Linked DNA regions of Drosophila melanogaster. The protein of the gene in region 1 interacts with the protein of each later gene in a pairwise test. Each region holds a gene or a part of one and is shown in the gene's direction. Other genes may lie near its edges. The genes, in order: SdhD, CG1416 and Tim9a.

What was found.
Region 2: the proteins of SdhD (region 1) and CG1416 interact in a two-hybrid assay, tested with the Drosophila melanogaster proteins (one large-scale study listed by BioGRID).
Region 3: the proteins of SdhD (region 1) and Tim9a interact in a two-hybrid assay, tested with the Drosophila melanogaster proteins (one large-scale study listed by BioGRID).

Annotation. Positions count from the first base shown.
Region 1 is NT_033777.3:23,758,933-23,762,688, reverse strand, and holds SdhD (succinate dehydrogenase, subunit D), read left to right. Parts: upstream 1-2,088; 5' UTR 2,089-2,194; coding exon 2,195-2,237; intron 2,238-2,328; coding exon 2,329-2,444; intron 2,445-2,516; coding exon 2,517-2,704; intron 2,705-2,765; coding exon 2,766-2,967; 3' UTR 2,968-3,202; downstream 3,203-3,756. Other genes in the region: udt (undicht), read left to right, coding at 1-140, 259-1,070, 1,129-1,708; PTPMT1 (protein tyrosine phosphatase, mitochondrial 1), read right to left, coding at 3,203-3,331, 3,394-3,711. UniProt on the Drosophila melanogaster protein: Membrane-anchoring subunit of succinate dehydrogenase (SDH) that is involved in complex II of the mitochondrial electron transport chain and is responsible for transferring electrons from succinate to ubiquinone (coenzyme Q).
Region 2 is NT_033779.5:21,755,989-21,759,744, forward strand, and holds the start of CG1416 (uncharacterized protein), read left to right. Parts: upstream 1-2,021; 5' UTR 2,022-2,223; coding exon 2,224-2,371; intron 2,372-2,453; coding exon 2,454-3,090; intron 3,091-3,242; coding exon 3,243-3,378; intron 3,379-3,756.
Region 3 is NC_004354.4:13,383,054-13,386,393, forward strand, and holds Tim9a (Tim9a), read left to right. Parts: upstream 1-2,156; 5' UTR 2,157-2,283; coding exon 2,284-2,343; intron 2,344-2,446; coding exon 2,447-2,542; intron 2,543-2,607; coding exon 2,608-2,739; 3' UTR 2,740-2,840; downstream 2,841-3,340. Other genes in the region: Rbp1-like, read right to left, coding at 216-570, 1,247-1,635; Ype (yippee), read right to left, coding at 3,291-3,340. UniProt on the Drosophila melanogaster protein: Mitochondrial intermembrane chaperone that participates in the import and insertion of multi-pass transmembrane proteins into the mitochondrial inner membrane.

The DNA of each region.
Region 1 (3,756 bases):
CCGCTGGACAGGAACCCACCGTGGACTATGTGTGTCGTGGTGTTAAGGATGACCAGCAGTTGATAACGCTCTTTAACGAGAACTTTGTGCCCATCAACTGCCGATCGTCGCTGGAGGGAGTGTGGCATTTTACGTACCAGGTAAGATCAAAATAGATTCATAGATCACATAATTTGCACATGGTGCGGTTTAGTTAAGGGTCTAGAAACATATCCATTTTATGTTGATTAGTGATCTTGATTTGAACTTTTATTATAGAACCGATTCCGATTCACGGGCGTATGCGATAAGCCCGACGCTCGCATTCAGTCCTGTCAAACGGCAGGAACGCAGTTCCTCATCCAGAACCAGAAGTTCAACGTCACCTATCAGCAGTGCGAGGGTATGGAGGGCACATTCACCGGCACCGTGGAGTTCAGCTGCCTGGGCGATTGGTTTGTGGGCAAGAACCACTACTTTGCCGTGGCCAACACAAAGGAGTCGCGTAAGGATGAGAAGTACCGCTGCTTCCTTAAGAATCGTGACGATGATCTTTACGTGGGCGTTTCCATTACGGCCGAATGTAACACACTGAAGACGCCAGAAACGTCACCGGAGCGTCTAAAGCTGACGCCAGTGAAGGCTGAGTTTGTGGAACCCGGTTGCACGCTACCACAAAACTTTAGCGGAGAATGGGTGAACACTGCCAACATTGATGCCGATGTCTCGATCAGTGAGACCCACATAAACGAGACGTACTATCCGGATAAAGCTCGATACCGAAAGACAATCTATGTTTGCCGAGAGCGACGGGGTAATCGTGTGATGATGGCTCGCCTCACTGTCGACGGTTGCCAGAAGGATTACGTGTGCTTTGACTTTATGCCCCGCCACCACAACATCATTCGCTACCGCAAGGGTTTGGCTGTGATCAAGGACGATTTTAGTACAGTCTGCTCTTGGGTTCAGTTCCCCAATTCGGAGGCATGGAAATATGATCTGTTTCTTGCTCGAAATCCTGTGCCTGTTCGTTGCCCCGTTGCGGGAAAATTCAACTTTACGCAGCGAGGAGAGCATCCCTTCAGAACGAGGTTTGTAATGTTTTGCAATCGTAGCATGAAACGTATAATTAATGTGTATATTTCACAGAATTCTTGGTGGTGTCACTCTGAGTCCGCGTCCCGATATCCATTGCAAGCAAAACATCTCGGATTTATCGGTTTGCGATACAGATCAAAAGGAATTGGCGGTGGATGAAAACTATTGCCTGTCGGTGGATCACTTGGGTCGTCCCGTTGATATCTACAGTGATCCCGATTACCGCATGAAGTGCATTGGCTTCTGGAAGGAGAACCTCAAGTCCTACCTGATTACGTACGACGATTTGGATCCGCTGTCCAAGTATCGCTGCTGGGTCTATCAGCGTGCCGACCTCAACCGTGTCCTCATGTCGCAGGCTGTGGGCGCATTCTGCAAACTGGAGCAAGATGTGACCTCGTGGAACCACTCGGAGGGCGCTGCCGTAGCCATCGATGCCGTGGAGTACGAAAGGGAGCGTGACGACTGTCCCATGCACTTCGATGACGGATTGAATCCTTGGAAGCCGTCGGATGCCTCCAACATCATATTTGATTGGGACTTTTACCGAGCAGGAGCAGCGACACTAAAATTTCAACTGACTGGCCTCGTTATCGTGGTCTTAGTCCAGGTTAGGAGTTTATTAGCTTAATAATATCAAAAGTATTTTTTAACTATTCCATCCAACGAAATTTACAAAAATTTTACAACCAACATAAAGTCACTTTTAGGAGCAATTGCGTGCCTTAGAATGCGAATTTTAGAAAGTTTTAAGCAAATTTTAAACTTAGTTTGTAAGATCATCACAATTTTTACGTGTAACAGCCATTCCGTCCCAAACGAATCTCAAATGTATTGTGCAAATAATTAAAGCAGTTAAATAAATGCCTTGAACTAAATGTTTTCTTATTATTTATTACACCCTTTAATTGTTTGTTGAGTTCAAAATATTTTACTGGGCTTCCCTTATTATTGTGGGACAATATCTTGACCGCTACTGTTTACCGATAACAAATCGATGACAGCTGACTGCACTAGCCCAGTGCTGTGTAATTTTTTAGACAAATCGGCCCAAACCGAACGGAGCGATAGAGTTTTTATTTTGAGCTGAAAATTCTCAATATTTACACATCCCAACATGTCCCTCTCGTTGCTTCTGCGTGGCGCTGTCCGTTGCAATGGTAAGGACCCACTGGATGGCAAATCGCCTTGTTATTGGACGCAAAACAGCTTTCATTATATAACCAAACCGTTTGTTGGTATCCCAATTAGCCGCAAATCTTGTTAAGTCGGCTCGCATCACTCCCCTGAAGAGCTACTCCACCCTGGTGGCCAATGTCCAGCGGAAGGCGGTGGTCCAGCCCCTGGCCGTGGCCAAGATTGTAGCGGTAAGTGTTTAGAGTTGAAAAATTCAGTGGTGGCTAATCATACTAAATGGTAATCCTCGACTGCTTATGCAGCCCGTCGTGCGCGAGATCTCCGTGAGTGCGCCCCGCATGGCTTCCGCTGGATCCAGCCACACCCTGCTCTGGACTGTGGAGCGAATTGTGTCCGCCGGCCTACTGGCCGTCATTCCAGCTGCCTTCATAGCTCCATCCCAGGTATTGGACGCCCTCATGGCCATCTCTGTCGTCATCCACACCCATTGGTAAGATATCCTTGAGGAAAATTAAACCTTTACTTATATTTTCCTCATTCACCAAACGCAGGGGCGTGGAGGCCATGGTAGTTGACTACATGCGGCCATCTGTCGTTGGAAACGTCCTGCCCAAGGTAGCCCACATTGCGCTGATCATCATCTCGGTGGCCACGCTGGGCGGCCTCTTCTACTTCATCCAAAATGATGTGGGTCTGGCCAATGGTATCAAGCGCTTCTGGGCCATCAAGGGCAAGGATGCCGAGAAGGCTTAAATGTCAAAGGAGCAATCAGTTGATGAACCACGAAACACCAGTTATTTATTCATAGTTTCGCGATAAGCATTAAATAAAGAATTGTAAAAAGTCACAGCTGCACAGAGCGGGTTTTGTAGAAAATTGTATATTCAACAAGAAAATCAGCACTAAAGTAGTTGGGTAACAGGCACCACCTTTGTTACGTATGGTAATCTACTGTAAACAATAAATTTGGGCTATTGTCCAGGTTTGGTCATGATTTCGTCTCCACATTGTTTGTGTAGAATAACCGGAGGGCATCCCATTGTTTGGTGTGCAGCAGAATGTGCGGTCGGCACTTACGCATGTGGTCAACCGCCTGATCCGGAGTCCATCCGTTCTTCTGCAAAGGATAAGTTGTGAGCTTTTTTTTAAGAGCTACGTGCAAATAGATAACCAACCCACCATCATGAGGTAGCATCCCACCAAAGTGGCACTTCGCGTCCTACCAGCCTTGCAGTGCACATAGACAGAACCCACGTTCTCCGGCTGGTAGGAGGAACTTAGGCCACCAATTCTTTGCTTTAGAGGCAGGAACTTGTTTATGAATTCCACGCCGCGGAAGAGCTTTTCTTGATTGGGCGACTCAAAGATGTCGGTGGTGGCCAGCTGCAGGAACTCAATGCCAAGCTTTCGCCACTTCTCCGTGTTGTTGGAGAAGGCGGTCAGCTCATAGTCCTCGTTCATCGACACCACCGCCTTCATGTTCTCCTTTTCAATGAGCTGAGCGGTTAAACAAGGATTTAGAAGGATTTCAGGCTTGGTTCC
Region 2 (3,756 bases), on another chromosome or scaffold:
ACGAACATAAATAGCTAAACTTGCCACTAGCCGCCAGATCACAAATCTTCCCGCATTAAGGAGTTAAAAAACAACCTAAGTAGAAAAAAAAACCAAATTGGTCTGGCTTATAGGTATTCATAAAATTTTATAAATACATATAAATGCACATATGCTACTCAACAACATAAAAATCGACTCTCTTGCCCACTATCTCTCTTCTTAATGTTTTTATTGTATTTTTTTTTGGGATATTTACTTTCGATTATTTGCTAAATTAATTCTTAGCACCAACAATAATTTTACCATCATTTTTATTATCGGTTTATTAAAATTTATATATTTTAAGATTAATCGTTCATATAAAAAAATTCAGAGCCCGTCAAGCCCTCCCTACAAAGGCTCTGGAATAAGTCTAGTGTCTTTGCTCCCTCTCTGTCAAATCACCTAAAAAGAAGCTGGCAAAAACTCCAGACAAAAAGACATCACGAAATTGTTTTTCTGTATACTACAAGTGTATACGAATATGTTCTTAAATCGTTGTTTCCAAAATTAAAAATGTATGTATATATTGATGGTCAATTACCTGTATTTCGAGTAAAAGTTCCTGCTTCTTGCGTCGCAGCTCAATCAGCAGTTTTTGCTGCTCCGGTGTAAGTTCTGCAAGAACGAGATGCGAATCAATAATAAATTCATATACTTGTTTCTGGGCATTTTGTAAATTGTATCGCAACACCAACAGTAAAAATAAAAAACACCAGAGCAGCATTCCAGGCACACGCGCCCAACACACATACACACGTGCATACACGAGCTGTTTGCGATGCGATGAAAGCATCTTGTAGGCTACGTCACTAGCTTAGGCCGATAAACAATTTTCACTTGTCGAAACCACAATGGATTGCTAATTGTGCAAATTGGCTTATTAGCGTTACCAAAGCTCTTCGGACTTAATTCTGACGAAGGCCAAAAACGAGAACGCAATGTACATATGTACATAATATACATACATATGTGCACTAACATTTCACCTAGCACACAAGTCTATACATACAAATGTTGCTTGTTGCTTCTCTTATTTTGTAGTTGTGGGTATCCCAATTTGTGATCTTAATAAAATTTTATCAATACAAAGATTCGTATTCTGTTCATGCTAGGCTATATCCTTCGGGCCAGCAAAAGTATCTGCTGTTTACCTGGCATTGAGAATTCACTGCGCCCCTTTGATATGGCACCGTACGATCTGTTGTCGAAATTGTCCATTGCGCTAATCATCGCGGAGCTACTGAGCTACTACACACACTCTCGCGCACACGACACACACTCTAGTTGTACATTTTTCACCAGCAGTTGGCTAATTTTTAAGGCTTTTCATTGAACAATCAAAGACGAACGGATAATAAACAAATCAACACCAAAAAAATTCTATCGCCATTTTCTTTCAGCTCTCCACTAGGGATGTGCTGAATTCAGCTATCGGTTGAGTAAACAACTGAAAAATAACAAGTGCATGCTGACTTAAGCTGGGTGTTACGCGAGCTCTGTGTGGCCACTTTTAAAATATCCTGATGCCACTGCATCTTGTAACCAAACGTAAGAACTTTTTAATCAGTAGAACTAAAAAAATTAGGGCTAATTATTTACTTGCAACAATACATTAAATATTTTTAGGGGTACACTTTTTCAGAGATTAGAGCAGACCTTATCTATTTCAAGACAAATAGCTTGAAAAGCTGTAAAACAACTTTGTTACATCCATTATGGTGTGATTTGCGGGAATCGGCTATTACCATTTCGAAAATTGTTTGTTACAAGTTAAAAACATAAACTTAAAGTTTTGGACGTACATAAAAATATAACATTAAAACAACCTTGTTATAAAAAAATACAATACCACCAATACTTACTGTCCATTTTAAATCTGTTAAAAAATTCACTGAACGAATACGTCTTTCGTCATAACTCCATTTAAAATATCGTCAGGAAATTTACACATCATTTCGTTTTTTTAACGGCACAAACACCTCGGACTTGGTGGCAACGCTGCCAACATATGTGTGCACTGGCATCGATAATTTTTACATCCCTATTTTGAACCGCAGAATTCTAGAAAATTCCACTCGCTGGCCATAGTAATTGTCCGAATTAGTTTAAGCTAAGACTGCCGGATCAAAAGTAAACCAACATCTTCCATCTTTTCATAAAATTGAAGACAGTTTCATACAATTCTACAGTAAGAAAGCGATGGCCAAGTGGGGAGAAGGAGATCCGCGCTGGATTGTGGAGGAGCGGCCCGACGCCACCAACGTGAACAACTGGCACTGGACGGAAAAGAACGCCACGCCATGGTCCAAGGACCGCCTGCATCAGCTTTTTCAGGATTTCAAAATAGGCGAGTATATAAGAATTTGTAGTAGTGTAGAACATACATTTTAGGTATATCCTAACCTAAAAGTAAACTTCTCAAAACGCAGGGCAAAGCGACATTGAGTGTGCCGTGGACTCCGTGGACAAATGCTCCGGGGAGGCCACCGTGAACAATCGCAAGGGCAAGCTCATATTTTTCTACGAGTGGGAGCTGGTGCTCAAGTGGTCTGGAAAGCTCCTAAAGAACAGCAAGCTGATCCACAAGGGCAAGTTAACCATTCCCAATCTCTCCGAGGAGAACGAACTAGCCGACGTAGAGATCACGGTGACAATCGACGAGTCCAACGACGAGTCGGAGACCCTGAAACAGTTCATGTACAACGTGGGACGAGACCGCGTGCGGCAGCAACTGGCTTCCTACATCCGAGAGTTGAAGGAGGAGTACTCCAAGAACCTTATCCTACCAAAGAAGGGCGACGAGGCCGGAGCGGGAAATACTGTGGCGAATTTTAAGGATGCCAACAATACCCGTAATGCAGCCCAAAATATCGCTTTAAACTCCTCGGTGGCGGCTCCTAGGCTGAAGAACTCTGGCATCGGCTGTAAACTGGACGTTCGCACTCTCTCGATGACCGAAGAATTTCACTGCAGCGCCAATGACCTTTACAACGCTCTCACAAAGCCAGAAATGGTCACTGCCTTTACGAGGGCACCTGCCAAAGTAGATGCCGTGCGCGGTGGAGAGTAAGTTTTTGTCCCTGGTCGTTTTATTTTACCATCACATCAGGACCGTTTGTGTCGTCATTTAGTAATCTTGTTATGAATAACCATAAATTTCGCCCCTCGCCCTTGTCTTCACTTCTTTATGGTAAGTAATCTTTTGTCTTTTATTGTAGATTTATTCTTTACGGAGGCAATGTGCTCGGAAAATTCGAAGAGCTCGTCCCTGAAAAAAAAATACAGCAGAGCTGGCGTCTGAAAAACTGGACATCTGGTCACTACTCAAACGTTGTCATAGAGCTGGAAGAAACTGTAAGTTACTAGGACAACGAAAACTAGATATATTATTATTTATTTTTTTAAATTGACCCGCTTAGTGATCCTGATTAACAATATACGATATAATTTTCAAAGAATGTAGTACTCCTTATCAGTCAATAAATAACGCGTATAAGACCATATTCCTACGGGCCTCTAAATTCGAAATATTTACAAAATTTTATGTGCACAAAGAAAATAGTAATATGAAAAAAAAATAACTTTGTGATTTGTCTATTTATTATTTATTGGTTAAGAAAAAAATTAAATTCGTTACAATACGTCGGATTTAAACTTATGAATGTAATGATTTTGGTTTAGTACATTTTTGAAATTTACATTCAGGTTAAATTCCTATTAATACCTAATTAC
Region 3 (3,340 bases), on another chromosome or scaffold:
TGGAATGTATAGTTAGGTGACTGTGGGTGGTGTTCGGTCTGGTTTTGGGTGCATTATTCTTGAAGCTGCGGAGCCGAAGACGTTGCTGATGATTCATTTTTTTCTGTTCTGTTTTTCTTTTTTTTTTTTTTTGCCTGGGTTGAGCTGAACAGGTGGTGGAGGGGGTGTGGTAGTGTTGCGGTCGTTCGGTTTGGTTCTGGTTCTTGGTTTTGTGGTCAGCGGAATATATCGAATTTGTTGAATTTCTGGTTAGGGCCGCACAACAAATTGTTATTGCATGGTGGTGGTGTAGTGGTGGCTGTAGTTGTTGTTGTTGTTGGTGAAATGTGTGTAATAGGAGGAGCAGGATCTGCTGTTGTACTAGTTGTTCTTGTAGTAGCTGTTGTTGTTGTTCTTTTGGTTGTTGTTGTTGAAGGAAGAGGAGTAGTAGAAGTTCTAGTAGTAGTAGCTGTTGTTGTTTTTTCTTTTTTCTTTGTTGTTCTTTTAATTATCATTATTATTATTATTATTGATGTTGTTGTTGTAGTAGTTCTTGTTGTGCTTGTTGTAGTAGAAGAAGAAGACTTTATCCTGCAAAATGATTGTGAGACCACATTAAAACTGGCTCCAAGCGATCGATTTACTTTGTTTTTACTAAGTTTTCTTGTATTTTCTTTTCATTTTTCTTGTATTTTGTAATTTTACTAAAAACAACAAACAAAACGTTTTCTCTAGTTAAAGCTATACTCTTTGAACTTTAAACTATGGACCTCGGGGTGCATATAATGAGCAATGAAATGTGATACTAAAACAAGATTCCCCTTAAAAAACAAAATACGAGCTAAAAAGAATCGATTGACGTAGCAAAAGCAACCAGGACTGTCGGCCACGGACGCCACTGTGTGCGCGCGGTAGGACTGTTCTTTTTCACGGACGCCACTGTGTGTGTTTATGTATGGCTAACAGTGGTGTCCCACCGTATGTGTGACTGTGTGTATTTTGGCTGGCACCGCTTTTGTATGTATACGCGAATCGATTTTTCACATGCATACATACACACAAGCACACACGCTATATAAATATGTATACATATGTTTATTTATATATATATTTTTGCATACTTTTTTGCACATAATGGCAAAAATTATGATTTCATAATCTCGAGAGAGGGGTAGTGGTAGTAAGTGGGTGCTTTGGTTGGTTGGTTAGTTAGTTTATCTGGTTTATTCTGGGGATGCAAAATGTAATGCTTTTGTGCCGTACTCACCTATAGCGTCCACCGCCATCGCCAGCCCTTCCACCGCCTCCAGCACGGGCGCCACTGCCACCGCCGCGGCCGCCGCCACCGGATCCGCCTCCACCACCGCCGCCTCCACCGCCACCGCCGCGACCCTCTCGTGAACGGCCTGATGACATTTCGACACGGATGCGGGTGCCACAGCAGCGGGTGCCGTCGAGGCCACGGGTCGCATCCTCAGCGTCGCGACGATCCTCGAACTCGACGAAGGCGAAACCGGGCGGATTGCGGGCCACCCAGACGTTGCGCAAGGGTCCGTATTTGCTAAAGGCGTTCTCGATCTCGTATTTGGAGGCCGAGGATCCCAGATTGCCCACGTAAACTTTGCAGGCTAAATCCCATTCACGGTAGCGTGGCATTATGTATGAATATGTATGTGGCTGGAGGTGCTGCTCCTCCGGTTCTGTAATGGATTTTTGGTATTTGTTGTACCACTGGACTTGTCCAAAGTCAATTTTCCAGTTTGTTTTGATGCTATTCCGAGGGAATTCTCCTTGGTTTTTCAAAGAGCACACCCACAAAGCAGGAGCAGAAAAAAGTGTTTGTGAGGAAAAAAAGATGGCGTGCCCTCCAGTGTTGAAAAGTGAACGAGGTGCAGTACCGTAAAGCGCTGACCATAAGATATGCGACTATCGATATTTTATAGGAATATCGATCTTTGAAATATCATTTTATTCTATTTAATAGTTTAAATTAAATGTTTCACAACCTAAGGGTACTTAGTTAAAGTATTATTATAAATATACCTTAATTTATGTATGGATACATTTGCTTAATTTCATATACCCGATGTTAAGAGTAAAACTAGATGTGGTTAATTTTTGAGTCGGCCGAACCAGATACTTCACATAACATACTTCAAAAGATAACATATCGATAAGTCGAGAACACGGAATGGCTTTTTAACATCTGGCAACCCTGCACACCCAGCTGTCCCTATTATATAGGCACATTATTATTGGCCCTTTTTCGTTTCGGCAATTTTGAATAAAATATCGCAGAACAAAATGGCTAAGACACCGGAAAACATAGCCATCGATCAGTTGGACAAGGATCAAATTAAGACGGTAAGCAGAGTTGACACGAAGATACCATCTCATGCCAAGGACCGGCGGTGCCAAGTGATGCAATGTGGTTTTCATTTGATATGTTTTCGGTTCTAACTTTCAGTTTTCCGACTTCCTAATGTCCTACAACAAACTGTCCGAGACGTGCTTCACAGATTGCATACGCGACTTTACAACGCGGGATGTTAAGGATTCCGAGGTGAGTGCCCGTGGGGAAGCTCCATGTGGAAATCAGCGATTTCAATATGCCCATCCATTTCACAGGAGAAGTGCTCGCTGAACTGCATGGAAAAGTATCTGAAGATGAACCAACGCGTCTCGCAGCGTTTCCAGGAGTTCCAGGTTATTGCCCACGAGAACGCACTGGCCATGGCTCAAAAGACTGGCAAACTTTAGGTGTTATAGCTGTTACAAACAATCTTAACTAGTTTAGACAACTGAGATGATGCATTTTCCTGCATTTGTCAAAATAGCTGAGTAAAGAAACGCGTTGACGGAATCCCGACGATTATTATCTACTATTCGATTATTGTGGTACTTTATTGCTGATTGATTACGGCCTAGAGATCTTGTTTGAAAAAGACAAGTGTGGATCATCAGTTTCGAATATGTTCCAGCTGAGTAGCAGCCCATCTTTTTCGTTTTAGCACTTCAGCCTCATGACATTTAAATGGTAGAATTGGGCGCCGCAGCTGCTTACGTGCTAGATGTGCCTACAATTACGTTTAAGTCACGTTAAGACAGGGCCGTAGTCGCATGTGCTCCGTGGCGGATGTGCAACCGATATATCGGTCTTCGGTATCCCGAACACCGGAGCCGACTACGGCGATCTCTAATCTAGGTCTAATGCATAGAGGCCATCGCCTGTGGCCATCTACTCAATACTTAGGGCTACACAAGGTTCGCCAATGCGTGGTTCCCGTTTTCCGGCTGTATATTCAATCGGCTCAATGACTCGTGGTGGCGGCCTCCGACGGAAAGCCCTCTGCCTCTGTGA